Nothobranchius furzeri: one gene and its partners. The protein of the gene in region 1 interacts with the protein of each later gene in a biochemical or structural test. Links are inferred from orthologs where the notes say so. Each region holds a gene or a part of one and is shown in the gene's direction. Other genes may lie near its edges.

Region 1 (7,350 bases):
CAGGCTGGAGCTCCGGGAATGAGACGGTTTCTGGTGCTGCTCATTTTAGAAGAAATCCTTCTTGAAACCATTGTTTTTTTTTTTTTGTTTTTTTGTTAGTTTGTTTTTCTTAAAGCCTGAAGCACATAAACGGACCAGATTCAGTGACAAACAGCAAACAACTCTCAGGATCAATATGTAGGGCTGGATTTTAAGGTTTATCCACAAGGAATTCTGCAGAAGGAGAAGGTAAACAGCAGAAATCCTCCGACGTGTTTCAGACACTGAGCTGCTGGCTGTTGAGGAGAAAACATTCCTCTGATTAGAGGACATCCAGCAGCTCTGGAGCGGCGCCTGTTTGAACAACCATCTGCTGACTCATCAGATCAGGCTTCACGTTTCCAAACTACAGCCTTGGATTTCTGGTCCTAACATGGATACAAAACCTGTTGTTTGTTTGGGAAACTGCTCACACTAGTTCAGCATTTTGAGCTGGTTTAGCGTTTCTAAAGCCTTTTTAGTAAATTCCAACTATTCTGACCTTTGACCTCTAACATTAACAGATATGCTGGAAGTCTGAGTCCTGGGGTCACTATCCAGCTTGTTTTGGTTGTTTTCCTGCCTAAAACACCTGATTTTAATCAGCAGCAGAGCAACCGGCGTCTTCAGAGCTTGATGAGTTGCTGAACAGGTGATTCAACCATTGAATCAAATGTGTTGGAGCAGGGAAACGGCTAAATCATACAAACTCAAAATATTGTATCGCCTTTTGTGGAATGTCAAAACGTTTTAGCTTTTTAAAAACTGCTAATTTTCCATCCTTCTACAAAAGAGAATCCTTAAAAGATAAATGGCCTGTGTTTAGCACCTTCTAGAGTCCTAATGCCCCCAATCACTTTACAACACAATCAATCATTCACCCATTCACACCCTTGTGGTGATGAGCTGCGTGTGTAGCCACAGCTGCCCTGGGGCACACTGACTGAGGAGATGCTGCCGAGCACAGACTCCACCAGTTCCTTCGACCACCACCATCAGCCAATGTGGGTGAAGTGCCTTGCCCAAGGACACAACGACAGCAGCAGACTAAGCTCAGATTGAACCTGCAAACTTCTGATTGCAAGGCAGTCACTTAACTCCTCTGCCACCATCGTTTTAAAGTCTTCTCATGTTCACTACTAAAAGTTAAAATGTTTGTGTATTCGGGTGTGTTTTAAGATTTATATTTCATGGGAAACTTTTAAAATCCTTAAATCTTGAGTATTTCTGGTTATTTATTACTCCATCCATTTTCTGAGCCCGCTTGTCCACGCAGGGTCACGGGGGGGGGGGGGGGGGGGGGGGGGGGGGGGCACTGGTGCCTACCTCCAGCGGTCAATGGCCAATCAGGCGGGGTACACCCTGGACAGAGAGCCAGTCCATCGCAGGGCAACACAGAGACACACACACCTAGGGACAGTTTAGACAGACCAATCAACCTAACAGTCATGTTTTTGGACTGTGGGAGGAAGCCGGAGTACCTGGCAAACTCCATGCAGAAAGACCCCAGGCTGGGAAGCGAACCCTGGACCTTCTTGCTGCAAGGCAACAGCTCTAACCACTGCTCCACTGCGCAGCCCTATTTATTACTCAATAAGAAAATCATTATCTAAAGGCCTTTGTGTTTTATAGATCCTTATTTTTGTCTCAGGCTTTCTATTTGTCAGAACATCCTATTGTGAATGTTTAAGCACTAGTACAGAAGTGAGTGACTTTGTAATTAAAGGTCTGTCTGTTAGAGTAATGTGAAGTTAACCATGTATGAACTCCAAGTTATGCAACCACTGTTCCCTGAAGAAGAGGAACGAGTGGTATATGGGACGTCACGCCACATGTGGCCTGGCTGAAGAAGGCAAATTACGCCAGGTTGTGGGCCTACCCAGGGTGGACTGGCCATCTGTGAGTTCTGGAGATATTCCAGGGTTGAATTTTCGTCCCAGTCAGCCCCTGGCTCCCCCCACCCCCAGATGAACCTTTAAAGTAGAGAAGGACAAACCCTTGTTCAGCAACTCCTGCAGAAACGTTAGCACATCCACAACAGAGCTCTACGAAGGAACCATGGTTCTGACCAGACTCCATTGCTCAAAATCCCTCCATTTATAAGCATAAAAGCCCGTATTAGAGTAAGCTCTCGAACTCTGAACTGTGGCTACCGCTGCTGGAGGAAGACCCCTAGCTAGTTTGAAGCTGCCATTCCCCCCCCCCCCCCCCCCCCCCCCAATAAAAAGCAAAATGCCATTTTAAGTTGTGGAAAGCAAAAGCTGTTTAGACCTAGAAACTATGACTGGTGTTCAGCAAGGGAACATGACCTAGGGATGAAAGCCAACAGGAGAGGTGAGAATAATTTAGCAGATTTGCCCATGCCACTTTAAAGATATGAGAAACGGAAGGAACCTGACCTTTTGACTGAGATTTTCATTTCCCGACTCCCATGGCAAGAGCAAATCTCGCTCAGAAAATCCTTCAACAGTATTTGGCCTGGAAAATTACTGTGGCCACCCTGAAACCAAGCCAGGTGTTGGGCCCGTGCGAATGCCTGATGGCTGGGCTTAGCATTCTGGTGTCATGGACTTGTCTACTTGTGGACCCACCACCTGCAAGAGGAGCATGATGGGTCTGTGTTGGCCAGACCGAGGTGGTAGCGCTAGCAGTTGGATCCTGAATGTTTGGAACATGGAATGACAAGGAAGGAGCTGGGACTTGTGGAAGAGATTGAGCAGTACTGGCTGGATATAGATGGACACGTTTCTACACAATAGCCTTAGCTCCTGGCGTTGAGCTCTCTTCATCACTGGAGAAAGGCGAAGACCCGATGCGGCTGGTGAACCTCAGACTGTCAACCTGTATGTTGAGGTTTACCCAAGAGAATGAAAGTTTCCTTATGTGCCCAAAAGCAGCTCAGAGTACCTACCCTTTCTGTGTTGAAAATGTCAGCTTGTTGTTTGCTGGCTCTCAAACAGAACAACAAAGAATCATTCATTCTTCCACTTACATGATTTGGACTATTTTTTGACATATATGAAATAAACATTGTACATACCGGTATTTCTCAAAGAATTTCCATTACAAGAAACTTACTAGGGTCTACTTACTAGGGTCTACTTACTAGGGTCTTCTAATGTCAGTTTGAGGTGTTTTATAGTATCTGTTGTGGAGACATTGTTTTTTACTTGATTTTGTTTTTGACATATTTAATTAGATATATGTTTATTACTGTGTAAAGGATTATTGGACTTAACCGTGTGAAATTATTGATGAAAGTTTAGCATTTATAAAAACCGGTATAACAGGTATATTTTGACTATATGTTACATTGGCCTGCCATAAACCTGATTAGAAACTTGAGGCCTGCCATACAACCTGATTAGAAACTTGACCAACTTGTCCGCCTCGCATCACTTCCTCGACATTTTGTGCACTTTTCACACGTCGATCCTCCGCCGCTGTGATTGCTTCGCCGATAGACGGGGGCGGGCTCTCACTTACACCATAGGCGCTATGATTGGCCATAACTTGATAGTGGGAAGCACTCGTAACGCCGGTGTCTCCCTGGTTGCGCAAGACGCCATTTTGGAGTGACAGTAAAAGGTAACGGAAAGATCGAGAAGCTGTGTCGTTAGAGGTAACAAACTTCAGAAACACGCTCATCTCTGTACCCTTAAATAGCCTAACGCGTGGTGGTTGTTACTATATTCAAATGACTCGGTTTGAGTGGCGTTTAACATTACGTGATGGTGTTCGCTTAGCAGTGACGCGGCAATTAGCTAATGGTAGCTAGCGCGCTACATCAGTTCCTGTAACTGGTGATCTAAGATCTGTTACGGCGATTTTTTTCAACGAGCTGAACATCAGTTCCACTGGTACTTGTCAATTATGTCAGCGTTACATTTCTTCATAATGTGTCGCTATGTGTTGTTTAAAACATTTGTTGGATGAATAGTTGTCCACAATCGGCTAGCTGAAGCATCCGCCCTTAGTGAAGCTAATAGCGCTTAGCTGAAGCTAACATCCAAAGCTACCCGTTGCGTTATAATTTGTAATACAGGATTTTTCTGTTATTATTTTTCTCTTAAACACTCATCAAACCTCTGTTAGATTAAGTTGGATTGGATGTCGAGCTGCTGTTTACTTTCACGCACAATAACACTTTGCCCAACCGGAGTTTCCCATCTGGAGCAGGCCTAATCAAGGGTTAGTTAGCTGTTAGGCTAATCCGGGTGAACGAGATGGTTGGATCAGGTGATCAAGTCTGATGAATTAAGATTAATTTTTCAGAGTTTTGTTTTCTTAAAAGTTAATTGAGGAACACATGGATTGAATATTTTAGTGTTTACCCAAAAGCTAAAACTCGAATATATTTAACGCGAACTCAACTTTTCTTTTTACCCTGACTCAGTTGAAAACGGTTCCTAGTTTCACCATTAACCTTTGTCTCCCAACTTCTATAGAACACATTTCTGTATGTACCTGTCATTTCCATATTGGCTGTATTGCCTTTTGTGAAATGCCTTCTGGAGTCTTTCTGTTTGACTTAAAACTTATGTTCCTAATGATGCTCCCTCTTCTGGTGCTGCAAAAAACTAACAGCCTTACATTTAAAGTGTTGTTTAGAATGTTGGATTGGATAATTAGATTTTATTTAAGATAAGTTTACTACATTTCATCCTTTTCTACCTATGTGTCACCCTGTTTAACAGTTTCCGTTTCTTACAGCTTTGTCACCATGGGGAATGTATTTGCAAGCTTATTCAAGGGCCTGTTTGGCAAAAAAGAGATGAGAATTCTGATGGTTGGGCTCGATGCTGCTGGGAAAACAACAATCTTGTATAAACTGAAGCTTGGAGAAATAGTCACCACCATTCCAACCATTGGTACGGATTTATTTATTCATGTCAGTAGTAGGGGTAGAGCATTATGTTGGGCTGTTATTTACCATTTTTATACATCAATAGATTTATATTTGTAAGGCCAATTTATAGTCAAGCACATCCTCTGGTAACATCTTTGTTCTTGCTGTGTAGTATTTCTAATTCCATGTTGTAGTTCTTTTTAAAACGCAGAGTAGTTTTGTGTTCCTGTTTTCCCGCTACGTTTCGTTTGCAGCTGCAAACTGCGTCGAAGTTTGCAGCCGCAAACGAAACGTAGCGGGAAAACAGGTAAACAAAACTACTCTGTGTTTAAAAAGAACTACAACATGGACAACCTCTGGTAGCTCGGTGCTGTTGCAGAATTTAATTTAAATGTATTTTTACATTTGCTGATAACATCAGCATAATATGTACTCTAAATTAACTTTATTTAGTTGTCTGACTTTAACACTGAACCATGCACAAAGTTGATATTTAACAGCTAGTTAAATTCAGTAAAATTAGATGGAAAATGTCTGGATATAGGCCATGAAAATGCCAATAAAAATCAGCAGTACGTGTCAGCTGTCGGCAGATCATGTCTCCTACATACTGGCATTGGTATCAGCAATAGAAAAACCATTATTGGTCAACCTCTTGTCAGTAGTGTTGGTTATTCTTCTTGTTGGAAGGCTGCTTATCTTCAGGCTTTTATGTTATAAGGATTATTTTTGTACCAAATATAATTTTAGATAATTGTGGACCAACTGATGAGTTAGAGTTTTTCAGAAGAATAACTGTCTTAAAATACCTGCACAGATTTTGGGTCATTTTTCTAATGTTCAACCTTCAGAGACGAATGTTAGCTCCTCAACCCTGTCTTGTCTGTACACACACTGTTGGTAAATTGTGAACACTTTTTAAAATTGTTGATGCCTCACCATCTTTCCTTCTCTGGTGTGCAGGCTTTAACGTTGAAACGGTAGAATACAAGAACATCAGCTTCACAGTTTGGGATGTGGGCGGTCAGGATAAAATCAGGCCGCTGTGGCGCCACTACTTCCAGAACACTCAAGGTGAGAGGGTGTACTATATTTCAGCTGGCTGTATGTTGCTGAGCATTACTGCCCATAGGTTGCTTCATTGGTGTGTGTATGAGTTTCAAACCAGTGACTCATGGAGCTTCATTCTGTTCTTGGCGTGAAGTGGGTCTCCTGTCCAGTGATGGCACTGATCAGAAAACAGCACTGTAGAGCAGAAATGCTTAGTTTTTCCTTCCAATTTTGTCAGCTGTGTGTGAGTGAGCTCTTTGTCTTGAGTGTAACGTTGAATATGTTGATGATGTCAAAAGTGTCACTTAAGAGAATGAGTTTCAAACAGATCGCAACGTTGAATTACAGCTCCGGTAATAATTTTATATGTAGACAGAAGATTTGGTCCTAATTCTGATTTCACCTGTTGAAAAGTTGCTGCTTGCTGCAGTCTTGTTAAGATAATAAATCGGAGGCAGGCTGTGGACGTGGCTGCCATGAAAAGACTGAGTCATGCATCTTTGTGTTTTTATCTGTTTTTGCTCTCAGCTGAAGGTCAACACAGCCAGCCAGCCGCTGGTACTTAAGCTGCATTAATGAGCTCCAGCTACTGTACAGGCCAAGCTTCCAATAAGACTTCCACTGGAGGGTTGAAATATTTGAACTCATTTTGAGGAAGTGTACAGGCCATGTAACATTTCCCAAACATAGTAACTAGGACAGGAAGTGATGTTGTCTAAGCTTGACAGAAACGTCAGCATCTGTGTAACACTTCTTACAATAATCAGAACTGTTTTTATTCATTTTTCCTCCCAACATAAAAACAGTTTAGCTGTATGTGTTTTGTCTTAATAGACTTTCTAGTACGTGATGTGATGTAACACACGTCTGTGCTGGGATAATCTGATACTGGGACTACATAGAGTCTGTGTTTAGGTTCACTCCCACCAGATCAGATTGTCTGTGATTAGGTTTGTTTACATTTAAAATCCTGAGATGTTTGGTTTTTAAAGAGCAAGTCACCCCTGCCAGAGTCTTACTCCACTCCCACTTCCTGTTTGAAAAATGCTGTTGCCTGGCAGACTGAAAGGGCGAAGCCGCTAACAAATACACACACACACACACGACACTGTGACCTCATAATGTACCAGCTGACATCATAGTATACTTCTTAGACTATAGCAATGGCAGATAAAATTTAAATGCAGTGCAGAGTTTTTACCTGACAACTGTGCAACAATGACAGTTTAGGCAGAATATTTAAATTTGAACTAAGATGCACTAAAGTGCCAAATTATTGACTGCATGCGTCTACAGCATGGTTAGACACTCATTTATATAGTTTATCGGCAAAAAAGAAGTGGATTTGGGGGTGACTTGCTCTTTAAAATCACATCCAGTTGAGGACGGAGTTAATTATGGGGCTGCAGCTATTGAATATTTAGTATTTGAAT
Region 2 (7,593 bases), on another chromosome or scaffold:
ATCACCATCAGCATACCGTATTTGTCAAATCGATGCCTTTGTGTAATAAGCCTGTAAATTCCGGCTGCTAATGATGAACTGTTTAAACCCGACCGCAACGAATGGAGTTAAAAAAAAAAAGATTTGTTTCTGCCTTGTTTCCCTTTTTGAGTGCACAATACAACTAATCTACCAACGCTGCTTTGAGCTTACACAGCTACCAATGCTAGTACACTTTGAGGCTAAGCTTGTAATATTACTAAAACAGAAAATGATACATACACTTTGGGCGAAAAGTTGTTGCCAAAATGTTTACTCTTGGTGTTGAAGAGCCTAGTCATGACCGTTTACTTTCCTAGACCAGCGTCGTCAGTGGCCAGAGCCGGGACCATGGTGTTGTAGACCAATTTGCTATGACGGTGTCCAGTTGAAAATGCTATGAATTTGTCTGTAGTAAACTACCTGTAATCAAATGGTAATTATTACTAAATCAATGAAATGTATACAAATGCAGTGTACCAATTATAGTTATCTGTTTGCAAATAAATGTAACTTCATACATTTGTCTTGTGTAAAATCATTTGTCTTTCTAACGTGTCTCTGAAAAAGATTAGAGTATTTTTGCTTTAGATTTTACTTTAAAGGTCTCTTACCTCAATCTTATTTATCTAAGATGAAATATTCACTCCATCTGAAACGTGTACTAACTGCTTTTACTAGGGATGCCCAGATCTGATCGCGTGATTGGAAATTGGTCCTGATCGGTCAGAACTGGACAGTACCTCCCGATCCAGACTCGGGATACATATAATTTATTTATTTTTTTAACAATTTAACACAGACTTGGACCTCTTGACTCCACACTGAAACAGCAACCTGTGCGGCATGACATCTCTTTGTTGGTTAAACGCTGGCAAAGTGGAACATGGAAGTAGAAAAGCGCAAGTATGTAGAAGAAGAAGAAAATATCATTTCTATAGCGCCTCTCGATCAAAATCACGAGGCGCTTCACAAAAACAAAACATGTAAAAATATAAAAAAGCATTTAGAAAATGTTTAAAAATATATTAAAATGAGCAAAAATAGGCAATTGTGATTAAAAAAGTTAAGAAAGAGAGAGAGTAAACAGGAAAGAGGGAAATCGGTGGGTCCTGAGGAAGGTGGAATAGGTGGGGAGAGCAGAATAAAGAGAGAGAGGTGAAGAAGGTCATACAAAAGCCAGCTTGAACAGGTGAGTCTTCAGCTGCTTTTTAAAGGAGACCACTGAGTCCACTGATCTCAGGCTCAGGGGGAGAGAGGTCCAGAGTCTGGGGGCCACAGCAGCAAATGATCTGTCACCTTTGACCTTTAGCCTGGTGCTGCACAACCAGTAGGCTTTGGTCACTGGACCTGAGGGACCTGCTGGGGGTGTAGGGACTAAGAAGATCACCAATGTAAGATGGTGCTTGTCCATGTAAGGCCCTATAGACCAGAACCAGGATCTTGAAATGAACCCTGAAGTTGACTGGCAGCCAGTGAAGCTGGATGTATGCAGTCTTGGGAGGTAAAAAGTTGATGACAACATTAAACTGAAGTCCAAAAGTGAAGAATTTTGGTATTTATTACTTGATTGTTCAAGAAGTGCTCTGTTTGTTACTAGAGGAACATCCTGGATCTGTTTCTTTGCTCGTTTTCATTATTTTTTAAATGTATGATAGAAGTTTTGGATCAGGACTTGGTATCGGTTGATGCTCAAAATTAAATGACTCAGTCTCGAGAGCAAAAGAACCTGATCAGGTCAGCCCTAGTTTGGACATGGATATTTTACCAAACTGACAAATCAAATGCCTGGCTTGGATTGTGTTAAAAGTGCAGTATGTAGGGATACAGTGAGAAAATACCAAAAGTGTGTTGTCATTTTGCAAGGAAAGTTTTACTGGAACATATTTCACATCCAGCTGGCTGTTGGATTGTCAGTTTTTCTCCTTTCAAAACAAAGGAAGGAGTGACGTAACTGCTGTTTACCATCAGTGAGTGTGGGGTCGCCATGTCTCCCGTGAGTTAATATTGCAGTGCCAACTATTATAATTTGATGACGGTCAGCAAAAAGCTCCAGTTGTTTAAAGTGGTTGCAGTAACCACATTTTACCACAGGATATACTTTTTACTTCATTTCTACATAATGCACCTTTAAGACAAACTTAAAATAAACCCTCAGTTCTTCACTTCATTGGTGATTTTGGTTTGGGTTGTAAAAGCAACTAAAAAGTTGGATACAACAGTCTGGACTGAACTTGCATTAGGTTGCTCCTCTGATACAATCAAATGTACTAAAGAGTTTCTATACTATGAATTAGACTCTTCATACCAAAAGGTGATTAGCCAAATTGCAAGATTAATTTTCATTTTGTAGGCCAAATGGGTGTTACTGATACAAAGCAAATTGTCATATTGGGTAATAATGGGCTTTATATACAATCTGAAATATAATTTGAGATCAAGCTGGCACCATATCAGCGATCAACTCAACTATTGCTATTAGCCTAGTCTGGAGCAAAATGCAAAGAACAAACTTCAGTGATGAGTGTTTTAGTGAAACCAAATCAGAGTTTAAAATGAAGTTAAACCAGAATAATAGGAAACCCCCCTGCCTAATCTCCTTTCTTTTAGATTTCTCATGTTAACAGAAAAATCACTGGACCCACACGGAAACTGGAGTATATTTTATACAAAATTGTAATTTATAATTAATGAGGGATAGTAATAAATGGTTAAGTCTTAAACATTCAACTTTGTATTTTTTGTATATTGTGCATTATGCTAAAGTGAATTTTGTTGTTTTATTTTGAAAGTTGACTGACCGGAAGTCGATCGACACCGCTTCCGGTGTCGCCACCTTCTTTGTCTACGGCCCAGGATTTCAACACCAGGGGATGTCAATTTTTTCCTTTTAGTTCTGTGGATATATTTCCTAATATATCCCCAATTTTCTGACATTTAATGACAGTCGACTCTGAACTATTTATGCCTAAAAATAAAGCGCCAAAAATGGATGACCTGGACTACAGTAAGTGGGCTTACTGAGTCGGTCTTTTCGGAACGCCGCCGTAGCTAACTGGCTAGCTGTGTCGCTTTTGGTTGACTTTATATTTGCTCCGTTAGACTAACTTCTCCCGGTGATCATACCAGTCGTCTTTTTTGTTCTCTATAAAAACGTGTGTACGTATTTAGCATGTATGTAGAAATAAGCCGCAACTGCATATTGTTTTTGCTAATTAACTATTGATTCTGTCGGTGTTTGTTCTTGGCTAACTTTACAGCTAACCTCGGTGGACATGATTTACGCATCAAACTGCATATAAAGGTCTTATAAGCGATTAATTATAACATAAAAGCCTCTAAAGTCTCGTAAGTAATAAACATTTAGGTATGTAGAAAAATGTATGCTTTGGGTGTGGCATTTTATTGTTTTGGGGGGTTACAATGGTTTGGGGATTTTAAAAATATCCACCAAGAGCTTACATTTTCTACGTGGTTTGAATTGATTAGTTTAAAGGCGAAATGTTAACAGAAAATTAACTACCCGTTTCTAGCATCACTACAATGTTTAGTTGAGAGAGTTGCTGTTGGTTTCTGCTGTAATATTGTTGGTCCAGTTGAAAGCTGCAGGTGGTGGTGCTGTTGAATTTCATTGAATTGCACTTCCAAATGTCTTCAATGGACATCAGGCTGTGTCATTAAATCACACCCACCTTCAGCAGGACAAAAATAATTCTAGTTGTTTAATGACAAAATACACATTGTAAGGTGTTGGTGCTTTCAAATATAAAATTATTGGGAAATTTACCAACTTGCACCAGTTTTACTTCAAATGAAAACCACGCAGCTAGCAAGGAAATGCTGAGTTCTTTCAGGCTTTTCATGTGCAATTCATAATTTTAGTATTTTTAATTAGTTTTAATAAAACAAACATTTTCTCCCACTAGTGGAGATTGCTTTTGACCTAGATTCTTTGGGCACAGCTAACGTTTTGTTGGTTCTGCAGCACCAATGCTGTCATTCTCTTGTCTTCCCCTGCAGTCCCAGTAGACCTGAGCCCAGAGGAGCGCTCTGAGCTGGAGGACATTCGTAGGAGGAAGGGCGTCCTGCTGCAGGAGATCCAGAGGCTCAGGGAGGAGTTGAGGGAGGCTATTTTAGAAGTGGAGGGACTAGAGAGCAGCACAGAGGGCAGGTAAAGAAATTCTTATTTACTATAAATCAAAGAAATAGCATTGCAGCTTTTGACCTAAATCAACACAATATGCACAGATTTTTAAACTTGTGTGTTAGTTTTTCATGTTTCTATTAGTATTTATTGTGTTTTTGTTTCCAATAACTTGTTGGTGTCTTAAAAGAAGTATGCGGTTTAATTGAGTTAACTTGTGTTGTTTCTGCAGTAAAACTCTTCAAAAAAGTCGGCACGTAGCGATGGGAAGGAAGAAATTCAACATGGACCCTAAAAAGGTAACACTGTCCTTTAGATTTGCTGATTTTGATATTTTTCTGGGATTGCTCTTTTCATTTATGGACTATTTCTGCAGGGTATTACGTTTTTGGTAGAGAATGAGCTGCTCAGACACACACCAGAAGACATCGCTCAGTTCTTGTACAAAGGAGAAGGCCTCAACAAGACTGCCATAGGAGACTACCTGGGAGAGAGGTGGGAGGTGTTGAAGTGTCTTTTGTTCCTGTCGTCTCTTTCATGCAGCCGTTTGTAACTGTGGTCTGTTTTGCTGCAGAGATGACTTCAACATCAAAGTGCTTCAAGCTTTTGTCGACCTCCACGAGTTCACAGATCTCAACCTCGTCCAGGCTCTCAGGTGAACTGCATCCACTTCTGTTGGTTCTGCATTATATGAAGCTATTAACATGTAATCGGGGATTCTCTAGTGGACAAACATGCCCAACAATGGAACCCCCCCCCCCCTTCTCTCAGATTGGGTTGGAACAACATTATGCAACAAGTCAAAACTGACTATGTAACTCTGCCTTAGTGGCTGAATTTGATCTCTTAGGCTTGACCCGAACCCTGTCCTGTTTTCTACAGACAGTTCCTGTGGAGCTTCCGTTTGCCTGGTGAAGCACAGAAAATCGACAGAATGATGGAGGCCTTTGCTCAGAGATATTGTCACTGCAACCCCGGCGTCTTCCAGAGCACCGGTAATCACAAAACAAACCGTTTTTCTCGTAGGGCTAGTAGTAATGCCATTTTTAACCAGCATGAATCTTATTTTAAAATATTTTTTGCACCTTTAGATGTGTTTTGTTTTGAGCTGGCCCTTTTACACCACATTTCTGCCTTACGGTGCTCTTTTCTTATTTATTTTTTATGAGTTCTGTGTTTGTTCAAGCGAAGCCAAAGTGACTAAAGGTATTTTTGCCAAAGGTCGGCCCTCACATAATCTGCCCCTGACCAGAAAGCATTCCCTCTTAACATTTATACACACCTTTCATTAAAGGCAGTTAGTGTTGTTTTTCATTGTTTCCGTCAATTGTTCTGTAATGTTTTACATGTAGTCAGGTTTCCCTTTGCTTCAGGCACAATAAGCTCAGCAGGATTAACACGTTGCAACATAAGTCCACATATCTGTACTGCAGGCTGGGATGATGGAAGAGAAATTGTTCAGCCAGTTCCAAACATCCACTTAGAGCAGAAAATATGCAAACATAACCCATGCTCTGCTGTAAAGTGTGTTTCTGTTGACTCTCTTAGTTCTTCTCTTTCCTCTCCTGTTTGCAGACACGTGTTATGTGCTTTCGTTTGCTATAATAATGTTGAACACAAGCCTCCATAACCCAAATGTGAGGGACAAACCTGGACTGGACCGTTTCATCTCAATGAACCGAGGCATCAATGAGGGGGGGGACCTGCCCGAGGAGCTGCTCAGAGTACGAGTCACTGGATGCCCCGTTAGAATATTTATGAGCTTGTTTATTTATTTGTTTATTTGTCTTGTTTGGTTTTCCAGAATCTGTATGAAAGCATTAAAAACGAGCCCTTTAAGATCCCAGAGGACGACGGGAACGACCTGACGCACACGTTCTTCAACCCAGACAGGGAGGGCTGGCTTCTCAAACTCGGTATTTTGACCCTGATCTCGTGTAATCTGTAGCTGAGGAGCTCGGTGTGTGATGCCGGTATCAGGACAAAGTGTTACATTCTGTACTTTCACCTCTCTGTGTTGTGATGACCTTGTCCTCCTGTCTCTGAGGCTCGTCGCCTCTTTGTCTCCACCTGAATCATCGCCTCACACCGTGGCAGTGTTTAAACATCTCCATGGTGTGTTGGTGAAAGACGCGCTCACTCCTGTGTGCCGTGGCAGTTTGGACATCTGTTTGTTTTCTTTTTGCATGACGGCGACCTGTGATCAACGTGTCACTAATACGATCTCCGTCCCCTCTTCTACCTCCCTTCTAAATCCTCCGGTTTCTTTTTGTCTCTGCTTCTTCCCTGAAATTTCCACCCTCTACTGCCGCTGCTTGTTTTCTCAGGAGGTATGTACTGAAGAGCGTCCAAAAAGTTGTAGAAGTATTAGTAGGTCGTAGTTAGAATACAGAATTCGTAGCTTGGTAGAGTAAAAGTTCAAATCCTTTTTTTTTTCTTTTAACTTCCATCTCTTATTGTCCTGTTGTGACTTTTTCCCAGGAGGACGAGTGAAAACCTGGAAACGTCGATGGTTCATTCTTACCGATAATTGCCTTTATTACTTTGAATACACCACAGTAAGTATTTAATGCAACAACCATAAGAAGTATTTTATTATGTTTAGAATTTAAACTGAGTAGTTGTTTCAGATTAGCCTGGCAAGCCATCCTATATATGTAAATATGTAGTCCGACCCATTGAAACAACCCGGTCGTGGGGCAGAATCGAAGGTTGTCTTTCTAACAGTCTGCGCACGTAATCGGATAGCGCCAGGACCAATCAGCAACAAATAATGTGACGTGTTATTTGCTATGTACATCAGTCAACGGGGCAGTCTGACACACACCTCTGTCTGCTCATGATTCCCAAGAAAAGCCCAAGTCTAAATCATCCACAGGGTATCCGCGGGTCCTTAAAAAGTCTTAAAAAGTCTTAAATTTGCTTTTCCAAATTTAAGGCCTTAAAAATCCTTAAAAATGACAAACAATCCTTAAATACAGTTTCCAACGGTCTTAAATGTCCAAAGACCCAATAAACAAGATTATTTTCTTTCCATAAAATTTTTATAAATTTCTAGTTAGTGTTCAGCAATTTTTGTGTATAATGTTGGCGTAAGCGGAACCGTACACATTCAGTTGGTTGTGAAAGGGGGCTATTTTTACATGAGCACATTAGCTGGTTAAGCTAGTGGGAGCTTGCACCATGGGGAAGTGAAAGTTTAATGGTAACTGGATGGCTAATCCCACGTTGGCGACGTGGTTAGCACTGGTTCCAGGCAATAGCTGGAAATTATAGCTTAAATTTAATTTTAAAAAATTGCTTAAAATTGGTCAAAATGGCCTTAAAAAAGGTCTTAAAAAGTCTTAAATTTGGCTCCCTTAAACCTGCAGTTACCCTGCGGGATTAGAGCATTGCTGAGCTGTCGCTGTTCTGGTGCTAGGTCCACCCAA
Region 3 (7,618 bases), on another chromosome or scaffold:
TGGATTTGGAGAAGGCTTATGACCGTGTCCCCAGGGGCACCCTGTGGGGGTTCGCTCCAGTAGTATGGGGTGGGTGGCTTTCTGTTAATGGCCATTCAGTCCCTTTACCAGAGGAGCGTGAGTTTGGTCCGAATAGCCGGTAGTAAGTGGGACCTGTTCCCAGTGAGGGTTGGACTCCGCCAAGGCTGCCCTTTGTCACCGGTTCTGTTCATTACCTTTATAGACAGAATTTCTAGGTGCAGCCGTGGTGTGGAGTGTGTCAAGTTTGGTGGCAGGAGAATCTCGTCTTTGCTTTTTGTGGATGATGTGGTCCTCCTAGCTTCATCCAGTTCTGACCTTCAGCTCTTGCTGGGTAGGTTCGCGGCTGAGTGACAAGCGGCTGGGATGAGGATCAGCACCTCTACATCTGAGACCATGGTTCTCGACCGGAAAAGGGTGGCTTGCCAACTCCGGGTCGGGGGAGAGGTCCTACCTCAAGTGGAGGAGTGTAAGTATCTCGTGGTCTTGATCACGAGTGAGGGTAGGAGGGATCGGGAGATCGACAAGCGGATTGGTTCAGCATCTGCAGTGATGCGGATGCTAAGCCGATCTGTCATGGCGAAAAGGGACCTGAGCCAGAAAGCCAGGCTCTTGATTTACCGGTCGATCTACGTCCCAATCCTCACCTGTGGTCATGAGCTTTGGGTAATGACCAAAAGAATAAGATTGTGGATACAAGCGGCCAAAATGAGTTTCCTCCGTAGGGTGGCTGGGCTCAGCCTTAGAGATCAGGTGAGGAGCTCGGACATTCGGGAGAGACTCGGAGTAGAACCGCTGCTCATCCGGATTGAAAGGAGCCAGTTGAGGTGGTTTGGGCATCTGGTCAGGATGCCTCCTGGACGCCTCCCCGGGGAGGTGTTTCGGGCATGTCCTGCCGGCAGGAGGCCCCCGGGTCAACCTAGGACACGTTGGAGAGGTTACATCTCCAATCTGGTCCGGGAACGCCTTGGGGTCCTGCTGGAGGAGCTGGTGGAGAAAGCCTGGGAGAGGACGGTCTGGAGCTCCCTAGTTGGGATGCTGCCCACGCGACCCGGACCCGGATAAGTGGAGGAAGACGACGACGAAGAAGAATCTGAAAATCTCGATGTTTGGTGTCTAGAAATGCTGTTTGTTAAATGGCAATGCTAAGTTGAACCGTCTAGATGGGGGGAAAAAACACGTGTTCTGTGCATTTGTCGCCATCTTGTGTTACTTTAGTGGTATTACAAAATGTCTTTAAAAAATTAAATTATTTTAAATCAAATGACAGATTACAAGTAAACAAACAAAGTTCATTTCCACAAAGAACAAAGAGTAAAAACTGCATTTATATTCTGTTTCTGGTTACAGTTGTTGTATTTGGTTTTAATTTTAATTATTTGAATAGTTTATACATTCCAGTCCAATCCTGTAAAAAAATAAAAATGTAATTAAAAGCAAATCGTTACATCTGAATGAAGGTCTGTTTGTGCTCAGACACATGAAAAGAGAGTTGCAGTAGTCATGAGCATGAGGAGATGAAGGTGTGGATCACAATCTCAAGTTCAGAGCGGGACAGAATGGGACTCAGCTTAGCAATGTTCCTGAGATGGAAGAAGGAAGAGCGAACAAGAGAACTGACATGAGAATCCAGGGTGAGAGCTGGGTCAAAGGTCATGCCAAGATTCCTGACAGAAGGTATGTTGTGAGAAGCAAGCTGACCAAGAGAGTCTCTGATTTTGGGAACCAGCTTGTCTGGGGCACAGATGAGGATCTCAGTCTTACCTTCATTCAGCTGAAGAAAGCTCCCAGCCATCCAGGTTTTAATAGAGTATAAGCAGGAGTGTTACAGCTGCAGCTTAGACATCTCATGGGGCTTAAAGGAGATGTACAGTTGGCTGTCATCTGCGTAAAGATGGTAGGAGATTCCTTTGAAGGAGCTCAGGATGTGCTGAAGAGGAAGCAGATAGAGGGGGAAGATTAGAGGCTCCAGCACAGATCCTTGTGGGACTCCATGGATGAGGAAGGTGGTAGAGGACCAAAACTTGGAAACCTTTGTGTTACCCCTGCTAATTCTTCCTCACTACCTTATTTTTATGCAATCTCTATCAATTTTGCCTTTCCTGGGATGACCTTTTATTTTTATCCTATGCATTTTTGTCCTCCTTCTCATTTTTCCATTTAAAAGTTTAAATATCCCTCTTTTTAATTCAATTCAATTCAATTCAAGTTTATTTATATAGCACCAAATCACAGCAAGAGTCATCTCAAGGCACTTCACATAGTAAACATTCCAATACAGGTCAGTCAGTTCATTAAGCCAATCAATAAAAAGTTTCCTATATAAGGAACCCAGCAAACTGCATGAAGTCACTGACTTTTTAAATTATATTAATTGTGATATTTAGTGGAAATTACATGTAATATTATGCTTGTTCTGCCCCCTTGGCACCCGGATCATTACGTTCACTCCTAATTTTTTTTTACAAAAACGTGTGATGCTGCTCATGAGTTTTATTTTGAGAAAATAACACAGGAACCGTAATACCATAACACGTTTTAAACCGCACCTGAAAATCCATTTCGACTTATATTTTGAAAGTATTAACAGGAAGTGCCGTAATACTTTAATAGTTGCAACTAAAAACTCTATAGTTGGAGCGATAGCGGCGCCGATGAATTGTTTTATGTGCTACTGCATTCCTACACGTCTGCTCTCGCTGTCTGCGGTTCTGGGCCACGTCCTGTGTTCATGTCAGACCTGACAGGCGCTCCAACTTCCCATGTGAAGTTTTTTTTTTTTTTTTTTTTTTTTTTTTGTCGACTGTGCTACATTTTAGCCAATGGGAGGGACTAAAGAATGCATCACCCACGGGCGACAGTACCGATGAACTATTCTGGTGGCGTTAACCTGGAATACGATAAATTTCCTCCCGGATAAGTAATTAGTTCCCCCGTCCCGCGTGCGGAATAAATGATTGTCCCGAGCTGAAGCTGCAGCTGAACTCCTGTGAGTATAATTATTGTATAAGTGGACATTTTCTCCTCGTTTTTGCCTCGTAGGAAACTGGGTGGAGACGAGAAATTCGCTCTTCCCATGTTTAGCTTGCATTTGATGGATAACATCATTAGTTTAGCAGCTGTGTAAATAACGTTTTGTAGATCTGTGTGTGAGTTTTACACACTTGTGACAGAGCTTGTGCACTTTATAATTATGTATATAAAAAATATTCAATCACTTCTCTCACGTTCAAAGCTTTTCCTCACGATATGTATTATAAAGTGCTTTGTAAAACGTTTAATCTTCCAAAGACAGAGTTATAACAGAATGGTGAGAGGTATATTAGACTCAAAAAACAACCCTTGTGGTACCATGAGATGACTCATGGTATATTTACATTTCCTGTTATTACCTTTTATGCTTGGTGACTTTATTCTGCTCAAGGTGAAGACTTCCTTTCATTTGTAGCACAACTGATTGTTAAAGAGCAAGTCACCCCCTACCAGAGAATTACTTTGCTCCCACTTCCTGTTTGGAAAATGCAACAAATGCTGTTGCCTAGCAGACCGAGAGCGAAGCCACTAACAAATACTCACACTAGAGGTGCGAATCTTCACTTGTCTCCCGATTCGATTACGATTATTGGGTCAACCATTCAATTCGATTCGATATCCAGATGCATCACGATTATTTCATATTGATTTGTTTTCATCGATAAATAGAATATGTCAGACAATTGCTTTTTTATTTTTTCCAACAGAACCGGTCGGGCTGATTCGGTTCTGGTTCGGTCTCGGGTTACAACTCTAGCGCTCAGCTCTGCAGTACCACATTAAGGCAGAACTACTTGGTAAATGTGGAGGACACTCACTCTGACAGATTTGGATGCTGCGCTGGTGCTGCCATTAAAAAAACAAAACTACATTCCACTATAATCGATTATGGCCTACTCTTCTACGATGCAGAATCGTTGATGTCCGCATCCCAATGCATCAATTGTTTGATTATTTTCCTCAGCTCTAACACACACACAGGCTCACAAAGACACAGTGACATCATATGGTACCAGCTAACATTCTAGGGTACCTCTTAGCCAATAGCGATGGCAGATTTAAATTCAACTGCAGTGCAGAGTTTTTACCTGACAACGGCACAACACTGACAGTTTTAGGCCAAAAATATGAATTTGAACAAAACTGCACTAAAGTGCAAAACTATTGACTACACGTGTCTGCAGCACGATTAGACACACATTGATATAGTTTATCAGAAAAAAATGTTGATTTGGGGGTGACTTGCTCTTTAAATATTGTTTTCTGTGCGCACCTGCATTTTTTTAATAGAAACAACAACCTCACTTGTCTTTGAAGAGTTAAAGGTCAGTCTTGTGCTGTCAGAGCTGCTCTTTCACTTGTTGCCCCACCCAGGTGTCATGCAGGCTGCAGGATGTCAGCATAGTCAGAGATTTAGTTAGTGGGAAATTGTTCTTAGAGCCGGTCTGCTTTATTTTCATGCAGCAAAGAGAGAAGAGTTCTTCTCATTTTTCAGAAATATGTATATTTTTATTGAAATTGACTTCTATTGGAGAACAGCTTCTGTAATCAGCTTTTCCTTTTGATAAAATCTTGAAAGTCACAAAAAAAATGCTTTAACTTTCTAAACACTTTTGCTTTCTGCTTTTTGCACTTTTTCCAACAGATCCCGTGAAGTGTGTGTATGATGCAAATTCACATTTATGATTCTGGGAATGATTGGCGTGGCTTTTCTTTTAAATTCCATTTTAGCCCATCTTGTTGTGTTGTAAACAACACAACAAGAATTTGTCCCGGATGTAATTTGAGTAAGTGGAAGGCACTTTACTAAAGAGAGAAATCTTTAGTCCACTCTAGACTTTAAACATGCATGTTTGGAAAATTCTGTGTTTACCTCACAGCATGAGCCAATCCAGGGTTTTATGCAAACTTGGAAACAAGTAAGAGCAAGACTGTGTGATGAAGAGAAAAGGTGCTGCTAGTGTTGACATTCAGCAGAGCAAAATAATTCTGAACCTTAAATTTCTGAATGGAAAAACAGAACAAGATTTTGTTTTAGAATACTACAAAAGTGTGGGAAACTTTTACAAATGTTTCTATAAAAGTAAAATGTTAGTTATCATTATTATTTTTTTATCAAGGTGATTTCTTATCCTAAAAGAAGCAGGATTTTAATATATCATGATAATTCTTACTAATTCATTTGCACGTCTCAGATTTCACATATGTGTTGAAAGCTGGGTGCAAGTGTGATAACAGATGCGTGGTTCAGGGATTTAGTTTTAGTTTAGCTAGTTTAGTTTTACATTTTGTTACGAAGACCAGAGTTTAAACAAAAATAGCCGATCTTCACAGTCCCATGCAGCTGGAAAACATTGCTTTATCAGCCATAGGGTGATGAGGAAAAATGAGGGATTTTGATGAATCTCTGCAATACAAAGATAAGTGGCATATTTCAAAAATGCACCTTTGTTTTCATCAGTCTTTGTATTCTTTCGCACAATAACAGATAATGTTCCTAATCAGAATTCACACTCACTTCCTGTTTGCTAATCAGCCTCCTGTGTGTTAGTAAGTGTGTAATATCTGAACTAGTTGTAAATCAGACAAAATCCCATAAAGCCTTCATGTTTAACAAGAGTTGGTTCTGCTTTATATTATTCTCATTTAGTTTTCTCTTCCTCTTTTAGCTCTTCACACACGTCAAACACACACACACACACACACGCACGCACGCACGCACGCACGCACGCACACACACACACACACACACTCCTCCCTTCCCATGTCCTCGTCTCCCAGAAAACACTCAGCTATTCTCTCTCTCTCACACACACACACACACACACACACACACACACACACACACACACACACACACACACACACACACACACACACACACACACACACACACACACACACACACACACACACACCACAAAAAGCTTCACACACACCCTGTTTTCTAGCTGCATTCTTAATGCCTTCTAAGTAATGACAAAGATGTGTTATGTTTTGTGTTTTAGATGGAAAATTGATAAAATCTTATCCTGATTTCTGTTTTATTTAGCTGTTCATCCTGTCAGATATATTTAGTCTTCAGATTCCATCACCTGATTGTTTTAAAAGGAACCCAGGTTACAAAACCTTGTGGCTCTTAAAAGATAAATGTTAGTATCAGTTAAATTAAAACGACGATGTTTCACAAAACAAGCGTCAAAATGAAGAGCAAGAAGGGCGGGATGAAGCGAGAGCAGGACAAAACCAGTGGTGCGTGTGCGGCAAATGTGTTTCCATAGTAACCGAGAGGGAGAGTGTTTGTTGACAAGAGCTCAAATTTTTGTCAGCAGAAGTTAACGGTAAGCTATCGTGTGATCAAACTTATTCAATTATGAATGATTTTGTAGAATATTAGCATCCATAGCTGTCGTGTGCTTTATAGATGATTAGGATATTCAGTGAAATGACTTTAACCATTTTTGCAGATATTACATATTTGTAGAACACAGTATTGCTACACTTACTGCTTGTTTTACTGACGGGAGAGGTGAATGTTCAGCTTCATCCGTGTTAGTCATAGGGTCGGGGGGGGGGGGGGGCTCTATGTTTATTAAATACCTTCTTGAGAGTCATGGTACTCTGTGGGAACCTTAGATAGGTCAGGGAATGCTTCTTGAATCTCTGCTGTAATGATTTCATGGGTTTCAGCCAAGCCCCCACAATGCGGCTCCAAAATTGGGCCCAACCCGGAAGTACCAAAATTGCAGTTCCACCCTCATCCGCTGGGAGCTGGTGTTAGAAGCGAGCAAATCCTCATTGACTCCCATGTTAAAAATACCAATTTCACAGCAGAAATAAACATGTTTGCAGCCTGGTAACAGAACATGTTTTTTGTTTAAATGATCTAGTTTACACTCATGACAACTCTGAGGGGGGTGGATTTTTTTCTCACTCTTCTGTTTAAGTGTATTAAAAGCCTAAAATTCTGTATAATTAATGAGCATCAGACCCATCTGACCACAGAGCTAGCTCCGTGGAAAGGCCTCAGTAGAGCCTCGGGCTGGCTTGGAAACTGTTCCGGGATTTTGAGTCTCTGTGTTTGTGTATTCTTGTTTGGATATTTTTTATGCAATTGTTGGACAAAATGACTTGCTGTGGCATTAATTGCACTAATAGAGCATCCAAGGAGTCTCCACTTCATTTTTTTCGGTAAGTAAAATTATATTTATGTATTTTAGGTCACTGCCGAGCTGAGCTTAGATTTTAACATGTACTGTTTAACCATGAAATTTAAATGTAATAGGGTAAAACCCAGTGCATTTAACATAATGCTGCATTTTAGAAAATGGGTTGAAATATAACATGTTGGTGGAGCTGGGTTCCGACTATCGGCTTGTGGAGCTCTCGGGAGACCTCTGTTTTCCACCCGGTTCTCCCCTCCCCGCAGCTCGGCACATCTCTGTTTGATCGCGGCTTCTGTGTGCTGCGCGGGCTGCAGGCTGGGTCTCCCCGCAGCTCGGCGCATCTGTCTGATCGCGGCTTCTGTTTGCTGCACGGGCTGACGGCTTGTGGAGCTCTGGGATGG

What was found. The genes of interacting proteins can lie anywhere in the genome.
Region 2: the proteins of arf2b (region 1) and cyth2 are reported together in a solved structure, tested with the Homo sapiens proteins (3 studies listed by BioGRID and IntAct, with this or other methods). The link is inferred for Nothobranchius furzeri from reciprocal best matches to the Homo sapiens genes ARF1 and CYTH2.
Region 3: the proteins of arf2b (region 1) and pld2 form a complex in vitro, tested with the Homo sapiens proteins (2 studies listed by BioGRID). The link is inferred for Nothobranchius furzeri from reciprocal best matches to the Homo sapiens genes ARF1 and PLD2.

The regions. Positions count from the first base shown.
Region 1 is NC_091756.1:54,220,950-54,228,299, forward strand, and holds the start of arf2b (ADP-ribosylation factor 2b), read left to right. Parts: upstream 1-3,477; 5' UTR 3,478-3,606; exon of another isoform or gene 3,607-3,640; intron 3,641-3,833; exon of another isoform or gene 3,834-3,878; intron 3,879-4,731; 5' UTR 4,732-4,741; coding exon 4,742-4,889; intron 4,890-5,830; coding exon 5,831-5,941; intron 5,942-7,350. Other genes in the region: mitogen-activated protein kinase kinase kinase 14, read left to right, coding at 1-22. UniProt on the Homo sapiens protein: Small GTPase involved in protein trafficking between different compartments. Modulates vesicle budding and uncoating within the Golgi complex. In its GTP-bound form, triggers the recruitment of coatomer proteins to the Golgi membrane.
Region 2 is NC_091745.1:76,531,339-76,538,931, forward strand, and holds the start of cyth2 (cytohesin-2), read left to right. Parts: upstream 1-2,824; 5' UTR 2,825-2,958; coding exon 2,959-3,025; intron 3,026-4,038; coding exon 4,039-4,189; intron 4,190-4,394; coding exon 4,395-4,461; intron 4,462-4,538; coding exon 4,539-4,657; intron 4,658-4,736; coding exon 4,737-4,817; intron 4,818-5,044; coding exon 5,045-5,157; intron 5,158-5,737; coding exon 5,738-5,886; intron 5,887-5,966; coding exon 5,967-6,078; intron 6,079-6,643; coding exon 6,644-6,720; intron 6,721-7,593. UniProt on the Homo sapiens protein: Acts as a guanine-nucleotide exchange factor (GEF). Promotes guanine-nucleotide exchange on ARF1, ARF3 and ARF6. Activates ARF factors through replacement of GDP with GTP.
Region 3 is NC_091750.1:48,069,889-48,077,506, reverse strand, and holds the start of pld2 (phospholipase D2), read left to right. Parts: upstream 1-2,849; 5' UTR 2,850-3,007; intron 3,008-7,618.